Cricetulus griseus: one gene and its partners. The protein of the gene in region 4 interacts with the protein of the main gene of each other region in a pairwise test. Links are inferred from orthologs where the notes say so. Each region holds a gene or a part of one and is shown on either strand. Other genes may lie near its edges.

What was found. The genes of interacting proteins can lie anywhere in the genome.
Region 1: the proteins of Golga2 (region 4) and Bcas2 interact in binary tests that used the Homo sapiens proteins (3 or more experiments, as listed by UniProt). The two-hybrid records come from large-scale screens. The link is inferred for Cricetulus griseus from reciprocal best matches to the Homo sapiens genes GOLGA2 and BCAS2.
Region 2: the proteins of Golga2 (region 4) and Arl4a interact in binary tests that used the Homo sapiens proteins (3 or more experiments, as listed by UniProt). The two-hybrid records come from large-scale screens. The link is inferred for Cricetulus griseus from reciprocal best matches to the Homo sapiens genes GOLGA2 and ARL4A.
Region 3: the proteins of Golga2 (region 4) and Plaat5 interact in binary tests that used the Homo sapiens proteins (3 or more experiments, as listed by UniProt). The two-hybrid records come from large-scale screens. The link is inferred for Cricetulus griseus from reciprocal best matches to the Homo sapiens genes GOLGA2 and PLAAT5.
Region 5: the proteins of Golga2 (region 4) and Magohb interact in binary tests that used the Homo sapiens proteins (3 or more experiments, as listed by UniProt). The two-hybrid records come from large-scale screens. The link is inferred for Cricetulus griseus from reciprocal best matches to the Homo sapiens genes GOLGA2 and MAGOHB.

Annotation. Positions count from the first base shown.
Region 1 is NW_023276806.1:53,787,062-53,792,115, forward strand, and holds the start of Bcas2 (pre-mRNA-splicing factor SPF27), read right to left. Parts: upstream 3,513-5,054; 5' UTR 3,445-3,512; coding exon 3,352-3,444; intron 3,266-3,351; coding exon 3,173-3,265; intron 1,115-3,172; coding exon 1,044-1,114; intron 527-1,043; coding exon 365-526; intron 1-364. UniProt on the Homo sapiens protein: Required for pre-mRNA splicing as component of the activated spliceosome. Component of the PRP19-CDC5L complex that forms an integral part of the spliceosome and is required for activating pre-mRNA splicing.
Region 2 is NC_048598.1:161,628,922-161,633,999, reverse strand, and holds Arl4a (ADP-ribosylation factor-like protein 4A), read right to left. Parts: upstream 3,371-5,078; 5' UTR 3,215-3,370; intron 2,808-3,214; exon of another isoform or gene 2,689-2,807; intron 2,247-2,688; 5' UTR 2,160-2,246; coding exon 1,557-2,159; 3' UTR 1,213-1,556; downstream 1-1,212. UniProt on the Homo sapiens protein: Small GTP-binding protein which cycles between an inactive GDP-bound and an active GTP-bound form, and the rate of cycling is regulated by guanine nucleotide exchange factors (GEF) and GTPase-activating proteins (GAP).
Region 3 is NC_048596.1:51,794,571-51,799,651, reverse strand, and holds the start of Plaat5 (phospholipase A and acyltransferase 5), read left to right. Parts: upstream 1-1,569; coding exon 1,570-1,717; intron 1,718-2,183; coding exon 2,184-2,277; intron 2,278-3,312; coding exon 3,313-3,421; intron 3,422-5,081. UniProt on the Homo sapiens protein: Exhibits both phospholipase A1/2 and acyltransferase activities. Shows phospholipase A1 (PLA1) and A2 (PLA2) activity, catalyzing the calcium-independent release of fatty acids from the sn-1 or sn-2 position of glycerophospholipids.
Region 4 is NC_048599.1:144,031,813-144,036,321, forward strand, and holds part of Golga2 (golgin subfamily A member 2), read left to right. Parts: intron 1-222; coding exon 223-279; intron 280-455; coding exon 456-536; intron 537-1,332; coding exon 1,333-1,371; intron 1,372-1,598; coding exon 1,599-1,661; intron 1,662-1,745; coding exon 1,746-1,839; intron 1,840-1,931; coding exon 1,932-2,038; intron 2,039-4,509. UniProt on the Homo sapiens protein: Peripheral membrane component of the cis-Golgi stack that acts as a membrane skeleton that maintains the structure of the Golgi apparatus, and as a vesicle thether that facilitates vesicle fusion to the Golgi membrane.
Region 5 is NC_048601.1:16,032,251-16,037,188, reverse strand, and holds the start of Magohb (protein mago nashi homolog 2), read right to left. Parts: upstream 3,513-4,938; 5' UTR 3,439-3,512; coding exon 3,345-3,438; exon of another isoform or gene 3,302-3,344; intron 1,416-3,301; exon of another isoform or gene 1,208-1,415; intron 1-1,207. UniProt on the Homo sapiens protein: Required for pre-mRNA splicing as component of the spliceosome. Plays a redundant role with MAGOH in the exon junction complex and in the nonsense-mediated decay (NMD) pathway.

The DNA of each region.
Region 1 (5,054 bases), on a different chromosome or scaffold from region 4:
CAAACTCATTTTCTTATATCATACAGTGAACACATTATGTGTTAATTATGTGAATGTAGGCTAGCTTAGCACTGGTAAACTCTAAGGTAGGACTAAATAAAGTCTTTGTTGCTGTACTGATACATTCTCAAGTCAAATCCAGCATTATTATTGTTGTTATTTTGGATATAGGGTTTTACTATAATAAGCCTAGGACGACCTTAAATTCAATATATAAACCAGGTAGGCCCTGAATCTGTGGTAGTCCCCCTGCCTCAGTTTCCCAAGTGCTGGGATTCTAAGTATGTACATACTACACCTTTAAAAGACACTGAAAACTCTAGATGGGACAGGGTAAGAGAGGAGGTAGAACAAAGCTTCTTACTCATTATATACTTTCCAGGCATTACACCCATGCTGTGACATCAGTTCCAGATTCTCAATTCGCACTGCTTGATGCTCTAACTGGGCCATGGAATTGTTTACACACTCTTGCCATGCAGTAATGTCATTTTTCTGACCCGAGGAAGGGGCTGGAAGTTCATATCTGAAATTATACAACAAATAAATAAACCAACATATCTTGCCAAGCCTCCATCACTCCTTCCAATAGAATCCCCATGGATATATGCCTGATACACACACAAAGAAATAAATTACCACCCCTCCCCCTGCCCCAAAATGACTGTGGCAGTAAAAGAAACCAATTACCCTGGAAACTAATTTACAAATAAAACACAACTGTATGCTGTAACAAAAAAAAAAAAAATTTTCATAAATGTGAACTAGTTAACCTGTAAAAGTCACAGAGACTCTGATGTCTCTCATCCCTGTTGAGATGAGACCCCTCTTGGGTAAAGTCTGCCTTACCATCTTTTTGAAAGTTGCTTAAATGTATTATATTTGCTAACATTTTTGTTTAAAGAAAAAAGGCCGTGATCATGTTTATAACTGGCAGCACTGTATCTTCTAATCTCACTGCTCACGGCCTCCACACAGCTGGCAATGCTCTTCCCAACCTCAGCCACCGCTGTCGAGTTCCCCCCAAGCCTAACCTCACTCACCGCTTCATGCTGAGTAATTCAATTGGTTGTCGAGCAGCTAGCCTCTCAAATTCGTTTCTCATTATGTCAGTCTGATGAAGAAACAACACAAAGAATTAGTACCAGGATCAGGTTGAAAATAATGTTTACTGAGATCTTATACTTTGTACTACATTATAATGGATCTTTTTGCTTCTCTCAATTACCAACCCCATCTCCCTTTTTAAAGGATATTAATATTTGACCCAGGTCTCACACATGTTCTCCCACTATGCTACACTTTCACCATCCCCCAGTTTGGGTCTGGGCTTAATTTTATCTAGGGTCTTGAAGAAATAGACACCCACTTTAATTCTATAGTCTGCCCAGGCACAAAAGGAGGCAAACATAAAAGAACCTGTGTGTTAAGGATTAACCCTCAATCAGCAGTTTTCAATGCACTGCAATCAGTTGTGGAGCTGTGAAGACAACTTTTACCCAGCCACACATTACATTGTATTTCACAACATATGAGAGCCTTGAATCTGAGCCAAATGTTTCAGGCAGTCTCTAGTGCTGTGTAGTGTGACACAGTGTAAATCCCACATACTCCAGTTTAAAACCTCGACTTCAATAAAGTCACAAGATGAAACATTGGATTTGAGACTTGATTTCTGAACTAATCACATGGAGTTATAAAAACCCCGGGAGGGGTTACAACACAGTTGTAACCTGGGTTCTAAATGAGGAAGGTATCACAACAACTAACCCCACACAGGGAGCAGTTTCTCTGCCTGAAAAACCTCTCTCAACCATCTAATTAATGTATGACAGTCACCCAGTTGCTATCACATCTGTGTAGCCCTGGCTGTGCTAGAACTTGTTTTGTAGATCAGGCTGGCCTTGAACTCACAGAGATCTACCTATCTCTGCTTCCCGAGTTCTGGGATTAAAGGTGTGGGCCACAGCCAACCAGCAACATCATTAATTTTCTATTTGGCATTTATCAAAAATATCCGAGACTTTTTAATTTATCTGCCCATCTCAAAACTAGAATCTAAGTATTATGAGGATACGAACTGTGCCTATTCTGTTCTGTAATACATTGCATATTCTGTTCAGTTTGCATAGACAGTACATAAGCACTTTCTGAATAGGAGTCCAGTAGTCTAGGAAGCAACAAGAATTCATACATGCAACTGCAACAAATTAAAAAGCTTTTCCGATAGGGGGTGGCAGCGCACGCTTTGATCCCAGCACCTAGAGGCAGACGGATCTCTGTGAGTTCGAGGCCAGCCTGATCTACTTGAGGCTCTGTCTAAACTCACACACACACAATCCTGCATCAAGAGCTGGACATGGTGACTTACACTTGTAATTCCAACACTCACAAGCCTGAAGCAGGAAGATTATCCCAAGTTCAAAGCTGACCTGTCTTAGTGAGTTATAGGCTAGCATGAGTTCCAGCCTTAAAAACCTTAATTGGCAGAAGAATAAAAATGAACAGTTATGTAATTCATAGGACCATTTTCTGAGCTAGGAAAAATAGTTCAATACACCATTAACAACTACTAAGAAAGTATTAAATTAACCAGAACACTAATTATAAAGGCAGGAACCGCGCTGCATTTTAAAAGGTTAGAAAAAATGTATTAAAGCATTTAAAAGTTTGCAAATGAACACCTGATTAGGACCTAAATGGTATTTTGGTTGCACTTGTAGGATAACAATTTTAAATGGTATGCAGTTAGGCATGTTTGTTCAGGCATTCATATATCCGCTAACTATCTGAGTTTTGTTACAAAAATCTCCCTTCAGTGGTTGCAAAGAGTACAGGTAGTTAAGATTATAAATATTAAAATCCCGTGATTACTACCTGTTTTTGACTGGACCTTAGAGAATAAAGGATAAGGGGTCCTTTAGGGAAGTTTACTAGGGACTCTTAAAAATAAAAGACCCAAATATTTTATTAAACAAGTCTGCAGAACCAATAAAGTATTTCTTGTAATACGAACCCTGAGGAAAGCTCATCTGGCTATTTTGAACCAACTGATCTTGACATGCAACATGAGCAGCAAGCAGCAGTTGCTTCCAGAGCTAAAGCCCTCAATCCGAAATCTAAGCCGGCAAGAATCCTGGTCAGGATGCGGGACTCAGGACACCGCACTTACTTCAAAGGCAGAATAATCCGGGGCTGTCAGGTAGCTCAGGTAGTTCTTGGTAGGTCGGTATCTGCGAGTTTCCTCCTCCACCAGGGCCGCAGCCTAAGAAAGAGAACAAACCGGGGTCAAGGCGAGAAAGGGAACCATGCCTCGGGTGACCCCCACCCCCGCACGCGCCCCATACTCACCGCTTCCCGCACGCCGGGAGCCTCGTAGCCTTGGTCAAAGTACGGCAACGCATCCACCACCACCTCCCCGGCTACCAAACCCGTGCCTGCCATTGCGCGGCACTCTGCTCCACCAACGCCGTCAGTCTGCGCCGGCTCGCTGCTATGCCACTGCGCCTGCGCGCGGGATGACGTCACACACAGCGCCGCCTCTCGGATTCGGGCCGTGTGCAGAGCGGCTGATTCTGTAGCCGCTAGGTCTTAAGGACTGTTTTGTTTGAGGCCTTGCGCACTGACGTCCCGGTAGACCTGGGATTATGCCTGTCTTTCCTCCATGGCTACGAGGACGATTTTATTCGAGTTTAAGAGAAAAACAACAGGGCAGACCGGAGGCAAGACATGCCCTTTGAGTTAGACATAGATGCTAGCAATGCAGTGAGACTAGCATAGTAGGAGGGAGAGGGGTTTAAAAGACTGAGAATTGGGGCGTGGGAACTTTTCAAGAGGTGGTTGCTGGACTTCACTGGAGGGGAGAAATATACTTCCCACGCCCTTTAAAGAAGCTGGGGGTAGGCGTTGGTGGCGCACGCCTTTAATCCTAGCACTCGGTTGGCAGAAGCAGGCGGATCTTTGAGAGTTCGAAGCCAGCCTGGTCTACCGAGCCAATTCCAGAATAGGCTCTAAAACAATACTGAGAAACCCTGTCTCGAAAAAACAAAAAACAAAAAGAAGCTGGGGGTAAGCCGGGCAGTGGTTGCACACTCCTTTAATCCCAGCACTTGGGAGGCAGAGGCAGGAGATCTCTGTGAGTTAGAGACCAACCTGGTCTACAAGCTCGAGTTCCAGGACAGCTCAGTGGTAAAGCCCCATCTCAATCTTCAGCGCTACAAATGAACACCTCATCCTTCCAAGGACTGGAATTCTGTCTACAGGATGCTTTGCTTAAAAAGCTTTGCCATGTTTTTGTCTCTGGGGCCTACATAAAACCCAATCATTTTGCCTTTAGGATTTGTGGTAATAGTGATCCTCCTAGGCTCCCTTCCCCTCAGGCTGTAACTAGTATACATTCTCTGTTAAGTATACCCCAAAACTAAGAGGTAAATGCAAAAAAGATTGTTGGACCTATGTGTCCTGCCTAATGGGCATTCAACCAAGGCTTATCTGTTAGAAAAGTTGGTCTCAGCTATAAGCCTGGTTATTCTAAGATTGATATGGGTATTTATGATTTTACATTATGTAAATGTGCTGCCTATAGGTTTAAGTAAAGTGAAAGAGCTTCACAACTTGTGGTTTGATGAGAACTGCCTCTCCTAGACCTACATATTTGAACACTCCCAGTTGGTGGCGCTCTTGTGGTTTAGGAGGTGCAGCCTGGCTGGAGGAAGTAAGTGACTGGAGTTTAAAGCCTCACAGTGTGTTTGCGCTCTGCTTCCAAGTTGCTGTTTGAAGATGAGAGCCCTCAGCTCCCGACTCTGGTCTCCGTGCCTTTGGCTTGGTGCCATGCTTCCTCACCATGATGGACTCTGACCCCCTGGAACTGTAAGCCAAATAAAGTTGCTTATTTTTATCACTGCAACAGAAAAGTAACCAATACACATCTCAAGTGGATTTATTTTAAATTCTCCAAGAGATCAGTGGGATTTTAAAATGCCTTTATTCATTAAAATATCTGTAAACATTTGCTAGAAATCTCGAACAATCCTTTTTTACAAACATATCCAGAA
Region 2 (5,078 bases), on a different chromosome or scaffold from region 4:
TGAACATTCTAGGTGACCATCACTAGTGCAGGCACATTTGACACGACAGTTCCACATGGAGCTACTTCATTTTGTAACAAGAATCAAGGTTCTAAAAATTCAGTCTTGTCACTGAAAAAAAAAAAAATTAAAAGCTCAAAACCAAAATGAATCCTGCTATCAAAGTGCACTTCCTTTGGTGACTTCTGAGCAAACAGCTGTTGGCTTCAAGCATAGGAAATATGCAGATTTGCTAATATGTGATTACTGGAAATAAGTCTCTTCCTGGAGATAAGAATTAAAGTTCTCTCCTCCTTGTAATTTCATTTTGTTTTTATTACAGCAGAAACAGCGCCCATTAACTGTTGTGAAATGGCTTTGCCACTTTCCCCTTCATTTTCTGGGATCTTAATTCCTAGCTGCAGTACCATACCATTTCTTCCTATGATCAGAGTTAGAAAGCTCTGGAAATACTGTTCAGCTGATAAACAAAAAAATGAAAGCTCAGAACACATATCAAAAGGTATCTTACATATCCATTCCACAGCTCATCAGGTGGTTATAAAGCTCTCATCCCTCCCAAAATTCTACAAAAATATATGAAAAAAAATGCTTCCAGCCAGCAAATAGTAATAAAACAAGTATCTTTTAACTAGATTATTTGAGAGACTATGTATTACAATCTCTGATTGAATCCACTTCTCCAAAAATCCATTCATGTATTCAAGCATATGTATTTAGTCAACTTATTCATATTTACTATATTAGAGAGTCATTTTTAGGTTCAAGTGACAGTTCTTCTAACAATGAACTATTTCTACAATAGCTCTAAGGCCCCCAAAAAGGTTGTTTTAAACCTGTGTAGACAGATGCATAGCTATTTCTAAAGATTATACACCCAAACATGCTTGTCCAAAAAATTAATCCATGCACTTGAATATACCACAAATGTTTTTATTAATGCCAGACCAACTAAATTAAACACTGTCTAGAATTAAAGAGGTATCATTAAAAACTGATTCCAGAAAAATGCTCAAAAATCATCTTGCCAAAACCTCAAAAAAGAAAATGCTTCCTTATCCCAGTGTGCTCAATTTAACTGTGTGTGTTTGTGTGTACACACAATAAATAATCTACCGTAACATTTCCATTCATTAGCATTTTGTGTTTACAAAGCCTTGTTTGCAGTTTCTTGGCAAAGGCTTCCCCCAAAAAGATACAAGCACAAAACACTAGGCATACACTCTTCAAAGTTTTATTTCACTAACTTCAGGTCAAATATTTCCACAAAATTGCTTTCTGCTCAATGACTATCCTTTTTTGGCTTCCCAAAATGGTAGTACCAAAAGATCTGTGGGTCAGGGAGAAGAGACCACTTCAAGCCACTTCAAGAAGCATTGCAGTTACTCATCTTCCCCAAGGCAACAGAGTTGGGCATCAGACTGTTCAACAAAACAAAGCTTTAATAGCATCCAGGAGGGCAGGCAGGCAAACCAGGCTGTAGACACTCTTCAACTCATCAAATCAGCCCGGGGAAAACTATTCCACACCGATATAAAAAAGGCATTGATTGCCACTCATCTCTTCTTTTTCTGTTGCCGCAACATTTTTCTTCTTTTAATTATCATATCATGTAGTTTCTCAAGTCCTTCCTTTAGTCCATCTCCTATGATTGCACAGGTGGGCTGCAAATGCCAAGGAGTTGATGAGCTCAGTTCACCCATGGCTAACAATTTCTCAATTTCTGAAAGAGACAGTGAGTTCCTCAGGTCTTGCTTGTTAGCGACTATAAGCACAGGGACCCCTTGATTTTCTGATATCCTAGTTATTTTATGAAGTTCAGTTTTGGCTTCTTCCATTCTCTCGACATCGACAGAGTCCACCACAAACACAATGCCATCTGTGCATCGGGTATATGACTTCCACAGTGGCCTTAATTTCTCTTGACCACCTACATCCCAGAAGTGAAAAGTGACTGTTTTGGAATTGCCCAAGGTTACCTTAATTTTCTCCGTGTTAAATCCTTTGGTAGGCACCGTATTTACAAATTCATTGAACTGCAGCCTGTATAGAACTGTTGTCTTCCCAGCGCAGTCCAGACCCAGAATCACGACATGAAGGGACTGAAAGGACGGCAGACTGGACAGGATGGAAGTCTGGTCTGACAGTCCATTCCCCATTTCCAGCTGCAAACGGTGTCCCGAACCGAACGCGTTCTTCTAGTCTGCTTACAGTCTCTCTTCCAGGGGGATCGAGCTACCAGACTGCTGCGGAGGAAACGACTATGTTATTACTGTGAACACATTAAAATGGGTTCTCTCTACTTTCTCTAAAAAATAAAGCACCGAGAGGGGACTTAATAAAACTTGCTGTAAGTAAGCACACCAGATGAGATGAGAAATGTACGAAATCCAAAACAAACGATCAACAATTATCACCAAAAGGCTCTGTTCCATTCTTCTCTCCGCTTTGGAGTAGCGTGTACTTCTCTCTAGTCTCCACGGTCCCCGAACCTCAGAAGCTCCTCTGAAGACAACGCAGTCACCAGTATCTATCTGGTGCCCGTCACCGTATCCACCCAAAGGGCCTTTTCTTGGCAGAAAACTAGAAACTAGGCAATCCTATCCGGGAGATCTAAGCCGGCGAAACACGCCGCGTACCCGGGATCACTTTCCAGGCCCCCTCCCCGAGGCAAGCCAGAGCTCTCACCTCCGGGGCTGAAGTCCGGATCCCCACGGGGACACATTGGCCGGCTGGCCGGCGTCTCTCCTCGCGGGGATCGCGCCGCCGCAGCTCCTCCCGGCCGAGACTTCGGCGCAGCTCTGGCGGCCGCGACGCAGGGAAGCTGGGACTCGGCCTGTGGCCACGCCCACCCCCACGGCCCACCCCGGCCCCGCGATCCCATTGGTCAGCGCGTCGGGGCGGCCACGCCACGCCCTCCGCGGCGCCCTAATTGGCGAGGGCGCCTGCGGCTCCCAGGGCGGCCGCGCAGGGCTCGCAGCCGGCCCTCGGGCACCACCTGTTGCCCGGAGTGGGAATCGAGGCGCGGAGGGAGGGAGGGAGGGAGGGAGGGAACCGCATCCCGGCCGCGGGTCGCCCCGCCCTCTCCCGTGCACACCTGCAGCGTCCCCGCGGCAACGCGGCCTCACAGCCGGGGACCGCCGCGCCCGCCCTCAGAACGCCGAGCGGCCCCCCCTCCCCCGCGCTGTCCCCGGGGCGTGACCGCGCGGCTCACCTGGCCCACGGTCCCCCGTCGTCCCGCCTCCGCGCTGTGAGCCGCCGGGGAGTCCGTCCCCCGGGCAGCGGCGAGGCCTGACGCGGCCGGGCGACGCGCGCGCGCCAGCCCCGCTAACGGTGCTCGCCAGCCTCGCCCCCGGCGCGCCCGCGGCTCCGCCCCTCGCGCCTGCCCGCTCTGGGGGGGTGGGGTCGCGCGCGCGCGCGGGTGCTCGCCGCGTCTCCTAGCAACGTCCAAACAACGTCAGGTTCCAACGCGGTGGGCGGGGACGGGCGGGGCTTGGGCCGGGGCGTCTAGATCTTTCTGCGGCCGACCGGCTGGGTGCGAGCGGGCGTCGCCGGCGCTGCCCCTCCTCCTGTCACCCCGTGGTGACCTCCGCAAGGCGGCGGCGGTGACTCGGGGTCCAGGGTGCTGGCGGACACTGGCCCCGCGGGCCCTGACGTCACGCGGCGGCCTCCCCAGCATGGGCTGGCTCGGATGGCAACCTCCTGCCTTTTGTGTAAGCCCAGGGTTCCCTCCTGCGAGCGTCCAGCTGCGCCCCAGAACCGTTGGGACTGGAACCAGTAACCCTATGGCGGAGGAGGAGAGGCTCTCTCTGAAACGCGAAATGGCCCAAGAGAAGCTGTAACTATAGTGATGAAGAGCACAACGCTCTCCATGAGATAGTGTAATTGTGTTCCAGTCTGTGTTTCACAGTAGAAGGCAGATTGTCCTTTTGCTAATATTCCGTTCTTTATAAGACAGAATGAACCACAGAATGTGACCAGCAATCCTTTCAGAGTGCCCCAACAGAGTATAGGGGCATTAACTCCTGGTTAATTTCCTGGGAAATTCTTATATGGAAACTATAATAATGGTGCACTTTTAAAATGTACTTTAAGCCGGGCGTTAGTGGCGCACGCCTTTAATCCCAGTACTCAGGAGGCAGAGGCAGGCGGGAGTTTGAGGCCAGCCTGGTCTACAGAGCGAGTGCCAGGATAGGCTCCAAAGCTACACAGAGAAACCCTGTCTCGAAAAAACGAAGGAAAAAAAATGTACTTTAAAATATAGATTCTGGCTGGACTTGGTGACACATGCCTTTAATTTCAACACTTGGGAGGCAGACACAGGTAGATCTGGATGCCTCAAATCCAGCCTGGGCTACATAGAGATTTCCAGGCCAGCCAAGGGTACATCGTGAGATCCCGACTCAATAAATAAATAAATAAATAAATAAATAAATAAATAAATAGATTGTAACTTACGTAGGCAATTTTCTAGTCTTTTCGAGACTATTATTGCCAGTGGTATTTATTTTATGAACAACGTAGAAAGATTTGTTTCTGATGGTTTTAGTTTGGTTTGGTTTGATTTTTTCCAGGGCAGGATTTCTTTGTGTAGCTGTGATCCAGGCTGGTATCAAAGCAAAGATTCACCTGCCTCTTCCTCCCTCCCTAACGCTGGGATTAAAGGAGTATGGCACCACCAGCTTGTTTCTGTTGTTTTTAGAAGCTGATATATAAGCTCAGTGCTTAGTTTTAATACAGCATCATGGATTTTGGAAGAAAAAGCTAGAAATCTCAAATGACATATTCTATCAAGTTATTGAATGTAATCTGAGCTGAGGATTGTTATAAGTGTGGGGTCTCATTAGCCCTTTACAGTCATTAGCCTAAAAAGTGAGAAAAGCTTTAGTGCAGTAATTGCTCTCCTTGGGAATTTTAACAGGCATTCTTTATTAAGCTGGAATTGCTTTCAAATCTCCTTAATATAAAGTAAAATTCCACCATTTACAATAGCTATGAGCTCAAGCAGGCCCTTCAAGTATTCTTGCTCAGTTGCATTTTTTTGCAGTCTTAGTAGCTAAACAGGTGAGATCTGCAAA
Region 3 (5,081 bases), on a different chromosome or scaffold from region 4:
CCTAGTCCATTTACCTAGGACCTTGGAGTTCAGTATATGAATTTCGAGAGAACACAGGTATCCAGGCCAGACAGCATTCTAAAAATAAAGCTTCAAGCATGAAAACAAGGTATTTGGGATTAAAAAAGATTTGGAAAAAAAAAAAAACACAACAACAACCAGTTAAAGGGTCAGGGGAAATCAATGGATGAATGGATGAAGAATAGTTTTATATTCCACCACAGAGGCTGACTTTTCATTGTTTGAAGAAAAATGGAAGAAACTGGTGATCATGTCAAGCAAAATAAGCCAGACTCAGAAAGACAAGTGTCATGCATGCTCTCATGTGTGGACTGGGAACAGTAACAGTAAGGAAATGAATGAGAAGGGGGGGCTGTGAAGGATATGGAAATTGAGGTGAGGTGATAGTGAGGATAGTTGAATGACGAATTTGATCAAAGCACATCAAACACATGATTTTGTAGAGGGAAAGACCAGGTGGGTAGTGTCACTGTATGTAGTCTTAGCTGAGGCTGAAAAAAGGGATCGTTTGAGCCCCGGAGTTCAAGAGCAAGGTCTCATGGGGAAAACAAAACAAAACAAACAAACAAACAAACAAAAAACAAGGACTCCTTAGACACAAAACTTAAGAGGGAATGAGAGACACAAAGCAAGGGACATAGGTAGAGCTTGTGTTATAGCTCTGAGGTTCCACCTTTGTTTATTACATTATATATTTATTTAGCTTTATTTTTTTGTTTTACGAGACAGGGCTTCTCTGTGTGTAACTGGCTGTCCTTGAGCACACTCTGTGGACCAGGCTGGCCTCGAACTAGCAGATATCTGCCTGCCTCTGCCTCCTGGGATTAAAGGCGTGTGCCACCAACGCCTGGCACTATTTAGCTTTAATTTTTAAAAGGTTTATTTGGTGTGTATGTATGTTTGTGCTTACACATCTATGTACCATGTGCATGCTTGGTGCTGGCCGGAGGTCAGAAGAAGGTGTCAGAACTCCTGGAACTGGAGTTATAGGCAGTTTTGAGCCACCTCGTGGGTGCTGGGAACCGACCTCGGATCCTCTGAAGGAGCAATAGGTGCTCTTAATCCTAGCCATCACCCTAACTCCCATATCTAGCTTTTGTGTCTCACTCTAGTTCAGGCTTGCCTGAATCTCACTGTGTAGCGAAACTGAAGCGGGCTTCCCAGTGGGGCTTCCCAATCGGGTCTCAGAGCCCTCGGTGTGGCTGGTTAGTCAGTAACTGTGGACTTCTCCAGCGGCCTCAGATGCTCCCTCTGACACTTGGCTATCGCGTGGCGCGCCCGCCTTTCCTCTGAGGGGCTGTGGCGCTTTCCTTCCCGCCAGTGTCCATGGATGAGCTTACTGCACAGGGGCAGCGTCTGCACCCACCCCCGCGCGTGCCCCGGTTCCACGCGGGAGTCCCGCTCCGCGCGCCCTCGCCGCCGTTTGCCGCACGCCCCCTGGAGGCTCTATCCCGGTTCCATCCCCGCCGGACCCGGCGCCCATGATCCTGGAGCTCCGCGGTCATCTGCGAGCACTCCAGGTGCGTTGTCTCCGCTGGCCACAGCGGGATGGGCCTGAGTCCGGCCGCCGGCGGGGAGTACGGGATCCGCCTCTCCAGGGTCCCATGGCCGCGCCGCAAGTTCACCGCGAAGACCAGCTGTACCCCGTCAAGTGACACCCAGCCTGCCACTGGAAAGTCAACCGTGTCCCACGCAGGTCTGCCCCGGGAATGGGGCCTCTCCCTCGAAGCCTTTCTGGGTGGTTCTTGTCCCAGTGAGTAGCCGCCTGTCAAAAAAGACTTGGCAGTTGCTTGCGTCTAACCTCCCCCACCACCCCTACCCCGCCTCCAAAATTTATGGAGGGCAAAGAAGGAAGGGGGCACAGTTCTAATCCTTATTTATTTACTGTATGTTTTGGAGACGGGGGTCCTTCTTGCTATGCAGCCCTGGCTGGCCTGGAACTCTGTATTTTGGTCAGGCTGGCCTGGAACTCAGAGATGTGCCTACCTCTGCCTGCAGAGTGTTGGGATTAGAGACATTCACTACCACACCTGGCTTCGGACATCATTCTAAACCGGAACACCCAGCCCACTTTAGGCTTGAGTTGATCTCTCATGGGGTTCACTTCTTCCCGCACAGAAGGCAGTTGTGTATTAAATCACACCCCTTCCCTCCTGAATTAGAGTCAGCGGGATCTCAAGCTCTGTTGGTCCAACTCCTGCCAAAGCGGTTCAAGAAAGACTGCGGGTTAAAACACTCCAGAAGCTTGCCTCGCGGGTAAGATTCATTCTATGAGGACTGGGGCTTTGGAACCAGAAGCCTTTTTTGAAATCTGTCTTAAAACACCCCAACCCCACCAGGTGATATCTGCTCCAATCAGCCAACAACAAACCATTGAGTAGCACCTACAGGGTAAGATTGAGCTAGGCTGTAGACCTGATGGCTGTTGGCATACCTTATTGAAGTTTTTACCCACAAGGCCTCTCTGCAGGCTCTTGAAAGTTGAATGGGTTTGTAGGATCACAAACTAACAAAAAAACTCAAGAGGCTAGTGCCGGGGTGTTAGGTTGGAGTGAGAGGAGGAGGTATCAGGCTTTTTGCATCTTATATCTTCTCTCCTATTAAAATTATCGTGCAAGTACCCCTTGCTGATAAGCATTTGAAAAGAATAACGAAAAAATAAAAAACAAAACCTAAAAGCTCTGATCAGTGTGGGAGGGGAGAATGAATAATAGAATTTATTTGGGAGTAAGTGCAAAGTGTACACACCTTATGGGAAACCAACAGTGCGTTCCAAGGACATGGGATAGAAACATTTAGAGTTGAAAAGAGGACAATGGAAATTGCTGTGAATCGATCATTTTTTGGCCTCAGATTTAATAAATAACAGTGGCATTTAGGAACCAGCAGGAAGGGTGGGTGGGGCCAATCCAAGTTGATCTCTTGCTGGGCAGGTGTCACTCTTTGGGGCAAGTTATGGCTTTGTGGAATTTCTTGTGGTAGCTCATGTCAATTGTGCATGGCAGCACTCCCTCTGGCTACATTTTGTTTGGATTTGAGACCAGGGGACTCTACTTTGAATGTGACACCTCTCACCTACACAGTTAGTTTTAAACAATTGTCAGAAAACCAGGAGGCAACAGGCTTACTGCATGAAAGTGAATGTCTTCATAGAATCAAGTTGGCAGGTGTGTGAGGGGTGTTCTTTCAATGACAGAACAGGAAGTGCTCAGATCTGAAGCCATTGGTCACACACTTTCCAACAGCTGTGGAATAATGTTGTTTGCAATGTGATTGTAAAATCATTTATAGAGAGAATCCAGTAATTAACATGGAGATCACGTCCAGCAAGAACAAAACAGAGCAGATTTCAACACCCAAGTTGGAGATCGAAGGCGAACTAAAAAGTCAAGAATCAGAGGTGCGTATCCCAGGAATTGATAGCATGAGTGCTTTAGTCTCTTGGTGACTGCAGACTGTATTGTGTTTTACTCTGTGTCTAATAAATGTCTGCACTGACATGAGATATTTATTGTGCATTTTCAAGGAGCTTTACTGAGGTGTATTTAGCACATATTTAAAATTGTAGATGTTTAAAATATGCAACTAGACACTTTTTGATGCTGTTAGAGCTGAAAAGAGAAAAATGGCAGTTCCTGGGAAGGATCTGACACGAGATTACCCCTTAGAAGACCTTTATCAGGAGAGAGAGCCTCACAACACGGGGAGGGGCAGCAAAGGTGTAACAATAAGTCTTTCCACCAAGCCACCCGAGTACTGTTGCCACGTGGGCGCTTTCTGCCTGGCTGAAGTTCTGCCTGCCGCCACGTTGAGGTCCCAAGTAACACACAGAGACTTATATTAGGTACAAATGCTGCTTGGCCAATGACTAGGGTTTCTCATCTGCTAGCTCAGTCTTAATTATCATAAATCTATATATTTTATAAGACTTATCTTATGGGATACCAGCTGCTGGTGTCTTCTCTTGCCAGGATCACATGGCAGCTCCAGAGCAGAGAGCAGGAGGAAGAGAAAAAGGGGATGACTTTCTTCTTGCCTTTGCTTATATATGAGTCTGCCTGCTAAGTCACTTCCTGCCTGTATCACAAGACTTCCTTTTACTACATTTCACAGAATCCTCCTTGGCTCCTAGTCCCACCTAACCTGCTTCTTCATTAGCCAACAGCACTCTATTCAACAGCCAGTAAGATAAACATATACAGAGAAGGACATTCTCCATCACATAGGACTTTGTGAGAGCCTGAGACTAGACATAGTGTCTTAACAGCAGCATGGTGAGGCCTTGGAGGGGGAGAGAGTGCTAGCCCTTCAAATCCTGCGAACAAAGAGGTTTTCTGACTCTGATAGGTTTTGGAGGTGTGTGTGTGTGTGTGTGTGTGTGTGTGTGTGTGTGTGTGTGTAAGCTTCATAGCACATGATCTATCTTGGCCCTGTCACTGTAACAAAGGGCACGGTAGCAGGCATCAGGTGGGACCATGCCTATTCTGCAGCTCCAGGGGATGAACAATGTGCTTTCTTATCAACCCTGGTCTCAGAAAGAGAGAGTTGCAGAGGGTTATAGTCTAACAGAGGGAGGGGAGGGAGGGAGAGAAGGAGAGAACATGAATGAGCCATCAAGGGGCTCTGTGATCTCACAGATAACATGTATACGGTTATGAGGCTCCTGTTTGTCATCCCTTCCCTGTTACCACCGTGACTCCATCGCCAGGCTGCCACCAGTCTGCTTTCCGCCAGCTTTAGATTAGTTTGCATTTTCTTAGCAAGTGTGGTCATAGTGCATGTCCTTCATTTTAAACATTTTATTACATTTATTTATGTATTTATTTATTGTGTATGGGGATGTGGGCTTGTGTGGGGGCCAGAGGACAACTTGAAAAAGTTGGTTCTTTCCTTCTACCCACGTGGATTCCTGATGAAACTCAGGTTGTCAGGCCTAGAGGCAATGCCCTTTACCCCGAGTGATCTTTCTGGTTCTCTAAAAGTGGATTGGTGAGATGTGAGGGTCAGCTGAAGACCACAGCTGTAACAGCTACTACTGGCTTTCACTATGACCTTGTGAT
Region 4 (4,509 bases):
TTTTATCCTGGTGTGGAAAGTGGGAGATGACAGCTGTCGAGGGGCAGAGGCTGGGCCATGGCGGGATTAGAATATGAGGAGTGGCACAAAGATGGTGTGAGAGGAAAGGCTCAAGGTAGACAGGAAAGCAGGTTCTGCTGGTTGAGGGGGAAGGAAGGAGGCTGGGGGGTTAGACGTTGAGTGTGACAGAGCATCTCCATGTGAGATAATTGTCTCTCCTAGTCTACATCCTACATCAACGGGGAGGGCCTCACATCTTCTAACATGAAGGAACTGGAGGTAAGTGGCCTTGGAACATGGTTTAGTGACCCTTTAATCCAACCACCTATCTCCTCTTACAGTGGGACCTGAGTGCCTGCTGCCAGCTGAGACAGCCCACCACCCCAACCCTAATGATGCTCTTTCTACCTTTCCCCCATCCCTCCTCCAACTCCTCCTCTCTGCATGCGCCTCAGAGCCGGTACCAAGAGCTAGCAGTAGCCCTGGACTCCAGCTATGTAACAAACAAACAACTCAGTAGCACGATAGAGGAATTGGTAAGAGTCCAGTGGGGTCCCCAATTCTTGCTGCCAGTCCTGGGCTTCAGTTTCCCCTTGGGGCTCTGAAGAGAGAGACTGGGGGCTCCTGGGACCTAGGGGCAATGGGAAACCTGGGGGCCTCAGTCTCAGCTGGAGGCAGCCAGAGCATAGAGCATGCAGCATGGCTCTTCTCGTTGCTCTCCACCTCTTTTCTGTACTCCAGACTCCTAGCCTGAGTCCTCACCCCACTTGTCCTGAGCTTGGTGCCTCCAGTGGAAGAGATCACAAACCCGATTGGTTGTCAGGAGCCCCATGTCCTGCCCTGGCTTAGGTCCTGATTTGCTCTTTGATTTTGGTTACACCATTCCCTGGGTTTGAGTTTCCTGTTGAGGCAGAGTTGGAGAGTGTCAGAGACCTCTTTCCACTCTTAAGTAGCAAGAGTTTAAAGGCTTACTGAATTGTCAGAACCAAGTGCTCTCCCATTCCTCTCTTGGCTATGCAAGATACAGTCAGTTCTTAATTCAGCACACTGTTCCAAGTCCCCAAGTTGGCAGAAGGTAGTCTTCTTTCTCAAACTCGTTTCTAGTGTTACTGTCCTTTAACTTGGACCCAGATTTAAACCTCTGTTGTATAGTTGTGAATGAGAGGCAGCCAAGACACAGACTGTAGTTTGTTGGGAGCTTGGGAAGTTTGTTGGTTCATGTGCCCATGGGGGTCTGAGCACCTTTTTCAAATCCATCCCCCTGCTCTGTCTTGGTATGGGGTAGCATAAAAGGGGCTAGCCCCAGTCACCTTCCTTTGACTCTTCCCACAGAAACAACAGAACCAAGACACTCTGGATCAACTGGAAAAAGTACTGTGGTTTCTGTGTTTGCTCTTTTCATGGCTGATGGGGTTGTGGGAGGCCTCAGAGTTGCAGATTTTGGTCTTGCTTGATTCTATCCTGGAGAAGACTCACCCCACAGGGTGTCCTCCATAGGATCCTTGATAACCTGTCCTGGGCCACTGGTGGCTTTCTGGGGCTCGTCCATTGCTGGGATTCTGCTTCCCTGCTAAGAACTGCATTTCCCATGCCTGCAGGAGAAGAGGGATTATCAGCAGAAGCTGGCAAAGGAGCAGGGAGCTCTCAGGGAACAACTGCAGGTGAGTGGCCTGTGTGATATCCCTATGTCCCCCAGAGAGCATCTCTCCTTCCTCTCAGCACTTTTGGGGGCTTTTCTTCCAAAGGTTCACATTCAGACCATAGGCATCCTGGTGTCTGAGAAGGCAGAATTACAGACAGCCCTGGCTCACACACAGCAAGCAGCCAGGCAGAAAGCAGGTAGGATCAGAGCATTCTTCAGCCTTGTGCTGACGCCTTGGCAGGCCTGAGGGAGGGTCCCTGGGGCTCCATGTAGACGGCTCTCATTTCAGGAGAGTCAGAGGATCTTGCCAGCCGCCTGCAGTCTTCCCGACAGCGTGTGGGAGAGCTAGAGCGGACGCTGTCTACTGTGTCAACGCAACAGAAACAGGCGGACAAGGTAGGACAAGTTGCCTGTCTGGCCATCAGCAGCTTCCTGGTAGACAGTGAGCTTACAGGACTTTTCTGCATGGTCTAGTGCCTTGCTGCTGACAATTTAGCATGAGCTGTTTGTTGCTGCTTTTGTTGTGAGGTTGGAAGAAGCAAACTGGGGAAGAGTCCACAGCTGGGTAACTGAGGGCTGCACAAGTGAGCTCTGGATGCAAAACCTAGAAGCAGGCTATGACCTCAGCTGGCTGTAACCTTGGCCAAGTGCTGATAGAGGGGATATAGCCCCTGGGCTGTGGAAGTACAGAAGAGCTTATCACTGTGCCACTGTGGGTAGGGTAGTGTGTGTACAATACATGTAGAGTATGTTTGAGATGACTGACAAACTCGGAGCTGGGAACAGGATGACAATCGGGAGGCATTTTGCTTCTATACCCTCTGAGTTTTGGATTGTGTGAATAGACCATCTGTTCAGAAGAGAGCACAAGATCCAAATAGAAATTAACTTTCTTCCTCTTAATTGCAACTCTGGGGGAAAGGGCCTAGAGATTTAGATACCCCAAAATGCTCAAGTTCCATCTCTGCTAAGTGACTTCAAGCCAGCACTTTTGTACACTGTGTTTCTGCCCAGTGGGGGTGACAGCAACTGTTGTCAATGGGTGTGAAGATTGGATAGGTTAGCAGTGAAGTGCTCAGTGCTGTAAATGCCTCAGCCTCCACGTGCTAAGATCAGTCTAAACCACCATGTCCTGGTCCCAGTCTTTTTTCCTGCCTGCTTTGTGCTTATGGAGTTCTTTGTTTGTTTGTTTCTTTTTTTTTTATTTTTCAAGACAGGTTTTTCTGTGTCACCCTGGCTTTCCTGGAACACTCTCTCTGAGATCTGCCTGCCTCTGCCTCCTGAGTACTGGGATTAAAGGTGTGCACCACCACCACCACCACCATCACTTGGTACAGTTCTTTTATTTATATTGTTAAGGTTTATTTACTTTTTAAAAAAAAAAAAAGATTTATTTATTATGTATACAGTATTCTGCCTACTCACCAGCAGAGGGCACCAGATCTCATAGATGGTTATGAGCCACCATGTGGTTGTTGGGAATTGAACTCAGGACCTCTGAAAGAGCAGCCAGTGCTCTTAATCTCTTTTATTTTGTGTGTGTGTGTTGCTTGACTTCATGTATATGCACCTCAAGCATCACTGGCGCCTGCAGAGGGCACTTGGATCCCCTGGAACTGGATTCACCATGTTGGTGCTGGAAACCAAACCCAGGTCTTCTGGAAGAACACCTGGCCCTTTTACTGAGTTTTTCCTTTTTTGTTGTTGTTTTGTAGTCCTGAATAGCTTGGAACTCAGAGAGATCTGCCTACCTCTGCCTCCCAAGTGCTGGAATTAAAGGGTTGTCCCACCACAGCCTGGTTCAGGAGTTCTTATTAAACAAAACAAAAGGAGTGTGTGTTGGGGGGTTGGGTGTTTTCGAAGCACTCAGGAGGCAGCCTGGTCTACATAGTGAGTTCCACCACAACCAGGGCTATATAGAGAGGATCCTGTCTCAAAAAATAAAAAATTTAAATAATTCTTTTTTAATAAAGAGTGAGCCAGATGGAGTGACACATCCCTGTAATTCTAGCACTTGAAAGAGAAAGGCCAGCCCCGTCTGCCTGAGACTGTCTCATAAAACCAAAATAATTGCTGGGAAGGTGACACATAGCTGTGATCTCAGCATGGGGAGGCCGAGACAGGAGGGTTCAAGGCTAGCTTGGGCTATAGTATAGATTCTAGGCTTGCCTGGTTGCTTAGACCCTGCTTCAGGAGAAAAAATGAAAGAGAGCTAGTGTATGATTGGTCAGTGATAGAGTAACTGATTAGCCTATACAAGAACTTGAGTTTGGTTCCCAGCTTTGTAAAAAAAATATTATTAATTAAAAACAAAAACAGGGCTGGAGAGATGGCTTAGCAGTTCAGAGCACAGGCTGCTCTTCCAGAGGATTCAGGTTTGATTCCCAGTTACCCACATGGTGGCTCACAACTATCCATAATTTATGCTTGTGGTGATTAGACATATGTGTAGGCAAAACAACAATACACATATAATAAACAACATTTTAAAAATATTAAACAAAACCAAAAAACAAACACCAGACGGTGGTGGCGCACGCCTTTAATCCCAGCACTTGGGAAGCAGAGGCAGGCAGATCTCTGTGAGCTTGAGACCAGCCTGGTCTACAAGAGCTAGTTCGAGGACAGGCTCTGAAGTTACACAGAGAAACCCTATCTCAAAAAACAAAGCAAAACAAAAAAACCAACCCTGAAGGCTATGACTGATGGTGTGGACTTTTGGTCTCCCAGGCTGCATTAGGAAGATCATCTAAGCACAGGAGGTTGAAGCCAGCTATGATAACATAGTGTGACCCCACCTTAAAAACAAAACAAAGTCAGGCAGTCATGGTGCACACTGGAGGCAGACTCAGGCAGATCTCTGAGTT
Region 5 (4,938 bases), on a different chromosome or scaffold from region 4:
CAGCATGATGTGGTAGAATTTGGGGAGCCCCTTTTGAGGGCCTTACCCTGCCTGGGGAGTGGAGGGGGGATGGCTAGGGGCAGTTGGGATGTTGGGTGGAGGGGAGGGAGAGGGAGAAGGGATTGACACGTGAAGCAAGCTTGTTCCTAATTTGAACTAATAAAAGAATAAAAACTAATAATTAAAAAAATGTTCCACAGCTTCCATTTAGAATGGGTCAGGTTTCTTAAGGCCTGTTCTCACCCCCCTCCCCTTTCTGAGACAAGATCTCACTGTGTAGTCAGGTTGGTGGTCTTGAACTCACAGAGATCTATCCACCTGCCTCAGTCTGTGTCCTAACTGCTGGGATTAAAGTTGTTCACAACAAACAAGATTATTTTCTCAATCTAGCCCCTAAACTAAACGTGACTGTGACAAAGCACTGAGTATTCTCTTCAAGTGTGACATGCTGATGCTTAAGGCAGCTCTCACAGCATTTCTTCTGATCTCTAAAGGAATTCGAGCAGCAGCTTCCACTTTCTCACCTATTCACAGGGCATAAAATCAAGTTAAGCAACTTGCTCAGAGTCACACAAGTCTCAAGAAGTCTCCTTTGTATCAACCCTTTCTCTACTATTCCAAAATATTCTCTTAATTGTTTTCCTTCAAATTAGTGTATAATTAAGATAATGAAAAAAATCTTTAAATTATAACTGGAAGCATGCAGACCATGTAAACTGCCAGTTTGTTGGCTGATTTATTTCAAACCATCTGTCATGACCTCCGAAGCTCCCAAAGTGTGCATCCCTGCATGGCTAGTCAGCCATGGGCTGATACAGCTGTGATGGCTTTCTTATCTGCTAAAATGACAGATCACCATACTGGGGTGTACCCAGCAAGAACTGTAAATTCTGTGAGTCACTATTTCTCATGTAAGTGGAATGATTGGGTGGCAAAGGTGCATGAGAACCAATCCATACAGAGCATTTCCCTGGTAAGTATTACTCTTATTTGTGTGACTCGGGGTGACAAGGACAAGCTGCATGGCACTCACAGCCAAGGGGGCTAAGAACAGAACTACAAAAGAAATAAAAAAAGCAAATCAAATTAAAAAATACAAAACCACCACCACAACCACAAAAAAACAAAGTAAGTTTGCTCCAAACAAATTTTGGAGAACAAAGGGTAAAGTTATTAAGTTTCTAAACAACTACAGGATCACAGTTACCTTGACTTCTTCTGCAAAGCTTGATTCATATACATGATCCTCTCCTACTTTCCTTTTCAAAGAAGCGTGTCCACAGCACTTAATTAAAATCTATACAGTCATACGATTAAACGCCTGTGTCTCAGCCGGGCGGTGGTGGCACATGTCTTTAATCCCAGCACTCAGGAGGCAGGGGGAGGCGATCTCTGTGACTTCAAGACCAGACTGGTCTACAAAGATACACAGAGAAACCCTGTCTCAAAAAAAACAAAATCAAAAACAAAAGTCTGTGTCTCACGTTCGACCTTCAGCTTTGGCACTTAAATATGTATTCAAAAATAAAACCCAGGAAAGCAGATCTGTCCAGACAGAACTGCCTTACACTACACTGGAGGGGCTTCCACAAACCACTGCTCACTCTGCTCATCTCTGGTTTTTCTTTCACCCAGAAGACAAGAAAGTGTTTCCTTTTGATCTCAAGTGTCTCATCTTCTAGGAGAAGCTTTTATGGGGTTGGGACTTTTTTTTTTTTTTTTTTTTTTTAGCTTGGCTTATTGTATTTTATTTTTGGTATTTTGTTTTGTTTTTACAGAAGGACTTTCTCTGTATAGCCCTGGCCATCCCAGAACTCATTCTATAGACCAGGCTGGCCTGGAACTCACAGAGCTCCACTTGCCTCTGCCTCCCAAAAGTGCTGGGATTAGAAGCATGAGCCACCACACCTGGTTTAGGGGAAGCTTTTGGGTTTGGGGTTTTTTTGTTTGTTTTTGTTTTCTTTTTTCAACTCAAGGTTTGATCATTTATTTGTTACTCTTTACTGGACTCAGACTTAAAAGTAGAAGTTCTCAGCAAGGACAGCCTATGTCTCTTGGAAATCTATGCCTGGTGTTTTTTTGTTTGGGGGTTGTTTTGGGTTTTGGGGTTTTTTTTGGTGTTTGGTTTGGTTTTTTGTTGTTGTTGTTGTTGTTGTTGTTGTTGTTTTTGGCTTCCTTCATTCTGTAGGCCAAGAGTGTAGCATATCCTGCAGCTTTGTCGTTTTTCTTAGTGTGTTGTTTCTTCAGAGCAGTAAGTTGGAGTTGAGAATCTTGGGTGCTTTGGCCCCGGACTTCTTACCTTCTTTGTTTAAGAGCTTTCTGACAAAATACTGGTAGATACCATCTTTAGAGAAATTGAAAAGCTTTAGGACTCTGCTAGCTGTCAGTCCAGGACTATCCTTTTTTTTTAATGATAACCAATCTGAAGACAATCAGATTGGCATCCACAATGTTTCTCCTTGATCTACAGCAAGTATGCTCCTTACTGGACAGCAGACACACTCTGCAGGGGGTCATGAAGCCTTATTTCGTGGGAAACCTTATCTGTCGTTCCCACCAATGAGTGGGACCACACAAGTCCTCCACTCTCCACCCAGAGCAACAGCAGCTACTTCCTCCGCCTTTGCCTCTCTCAGAAAGCACAGAGCTTGTGTTCACCGTCTACTTGCTCTGACAGCCAGTGGCTGGGGAGGAGATAGTCAGCTTCTTTTTAACAGGGCTGAACACCTAGTAGGCAATGAGAAAGGCGCTTCTGGGAAGCTTTCATTTAGGGCCTTCCCTCTGACCTCCATCCATCCACGTATCATGATAAAGACGGTATTTCAATGCCTAACACACATCACACTCCTGTTCAGACAGGGGAGCTTCCTCCCCTAGAAAGCATCCTCAACACAGAGTAAATGAGCGAGCAGGCCAAAAGGCCCCCCAAAGACTTCAAGTATCTGCTGAAGTATCACTCGGTAATTCCGTCAACACTGCCGAGGCACAGGCTCTGCATTCTGGGTTTCCGATTTTTCCGTGTTCAACTTCGCTGGCGGTAGCTGGGTGCGCTTTTCTGGATACCTTTACAGCAATTTTGCTCTCACAAAAACAAACACCCAAGCCCGCTACGCTGCACGCTCGGGCGCTTTCTAATCTATGTCGGAAAGAAGCCCTTCCAGCCCGGCTGGAGGACCGGGAGTTCGAAGTCATCCTGGACTAAACAACGAGACCCCCCCCCCTCCCAACACACACCCCGGACTCAAAACCAAACAGGAAAACTGAAATAACACAGAAAGGAAGAACAGAAATAGAAACCCACCCGCTGGGGGCTCGCCCTCCCTCGCGGCCCCTCCGCCGCTCACCGTCCGGCCGAAACTCGAACTCCAGAAACTCGTGCCCGAACTTGCCCTTGTGCCCTACGTAGTAGCGCAGGTAGAAATCACTAGCCATAGACATTTTTGCCGTCGGCCCAGCCCGCTGCACGGCCAGGCCAACGTGCCGCCGGCGCGGGGCAGTGACGTCAGGGGCGCGGGCAAAGAACGTCACGGCGGGCGCGCCTTCTCCCTAGGGAAAAGAAAGCCAGGGGAGCCGCGGGTCCCGCCGGACACGCTGAGGACAGCTAGAGGTTCGCGCAGCAGCGGCTGCACCGAGATCCCAAGCACGTTGTTTTCGTTTGGGAAAGGATTTTTATATGGTTTGCTCTTTCCCTTTTAGTTCTTGGACGATTTTCATACACGTGTATGATGAATTTTAGTCACTTCCTCCTCGTTACCCTCTCTCCTTTTCTGTCTCCTTTTCTGTCTTCCTTGTGTCTGGGTTGCGGGTGGGTCGGGGGCCCTCACCGAGTTTAGTAAGGGTTGCTTGCACGAGCACGATGGAGGCTGAAGTCCCCGGATTTCATGACCTGGATTCTGTATTGTTTGGGTGTGACCTCCTCCATCTACTGCCTCCAGCCCTTCTGCCCGCGTATTCCTGCTCGCACTTTAAGGACTCAGGCATTATGCTTGCCTGTCCCCGTCACCTGGCAGAATGCACTCGGGCAGTACCCGGGTCAGCCCAGGGGTCCGTGGTTGCGAAGTCTGCACGCAGGTGCAAAGGACCCCCTTTAAAAGAGAGAGACACACCCCCACCCCACCCCGCCCTCTTATGCTCTCTTTCAGGCTCTCTTTCCCGCTGCTCCCTTGGGGCAGACAGGACTTTTCCTGTCTCCCTCTTCTCTTCTGTTCTCTCTCTGCCTCTGTGTCTCTTTTCTCTTTCCTCCGCCCCCCCTCCTTTCCCTTTCTAATCTCACTTAAACTCTGCCTGCCTGGCATGTTTGTCCCTCGCCTGCCAAGGTTCCCCACACATTATCATAACACGCACTGTCTTGTCAAATGCACCTTGTTACCTCGTCAGTCCATTTCTTTAACTAGCCCCCAGTCCCCTTTCTGGTTTGATAACCAACACTCAAAAGCATCTAACTACGTACACAAGCTAAGATCCACGTTCAAGAGTGAATGGGTTATCTGTCTTAATACTTCACGGTTACCCCCCACTTACTATAATAATTTCCAGATTCATCCTTTTTCCTTCCAATTTCATTTTATCTTAGTAATGAACAAATAGCTTTTCTTTTTTTTCTTTAATGGGCTTGGGAGGAACATTCGTAAACCACTTGTACTTTCTGGTTGCCCTCTGGTGTGGGTGTGGCTTTTCTGGGTTTTTAGCCAAGGTTTACAAGCTGCACTTCTTGTGGGTATCTCTGATCTCGAAGCACATTGTAAAGCGGGGTGTGGCTCTACTTCCTGTAACTGGTGAGGTGAGTAAAGATGCATTCCAGTGGCAACCAGAATATCTTCCTGAGTCCTAACAAGCCTTTGCACAGTGCTTCACAGTTACCCAGTAGCCAACAGCCTAAACTAAGACTAAGAGAGCAAACAAAGAAAAGGAAAAAGAAATAAAATTTTAAAGACAAAA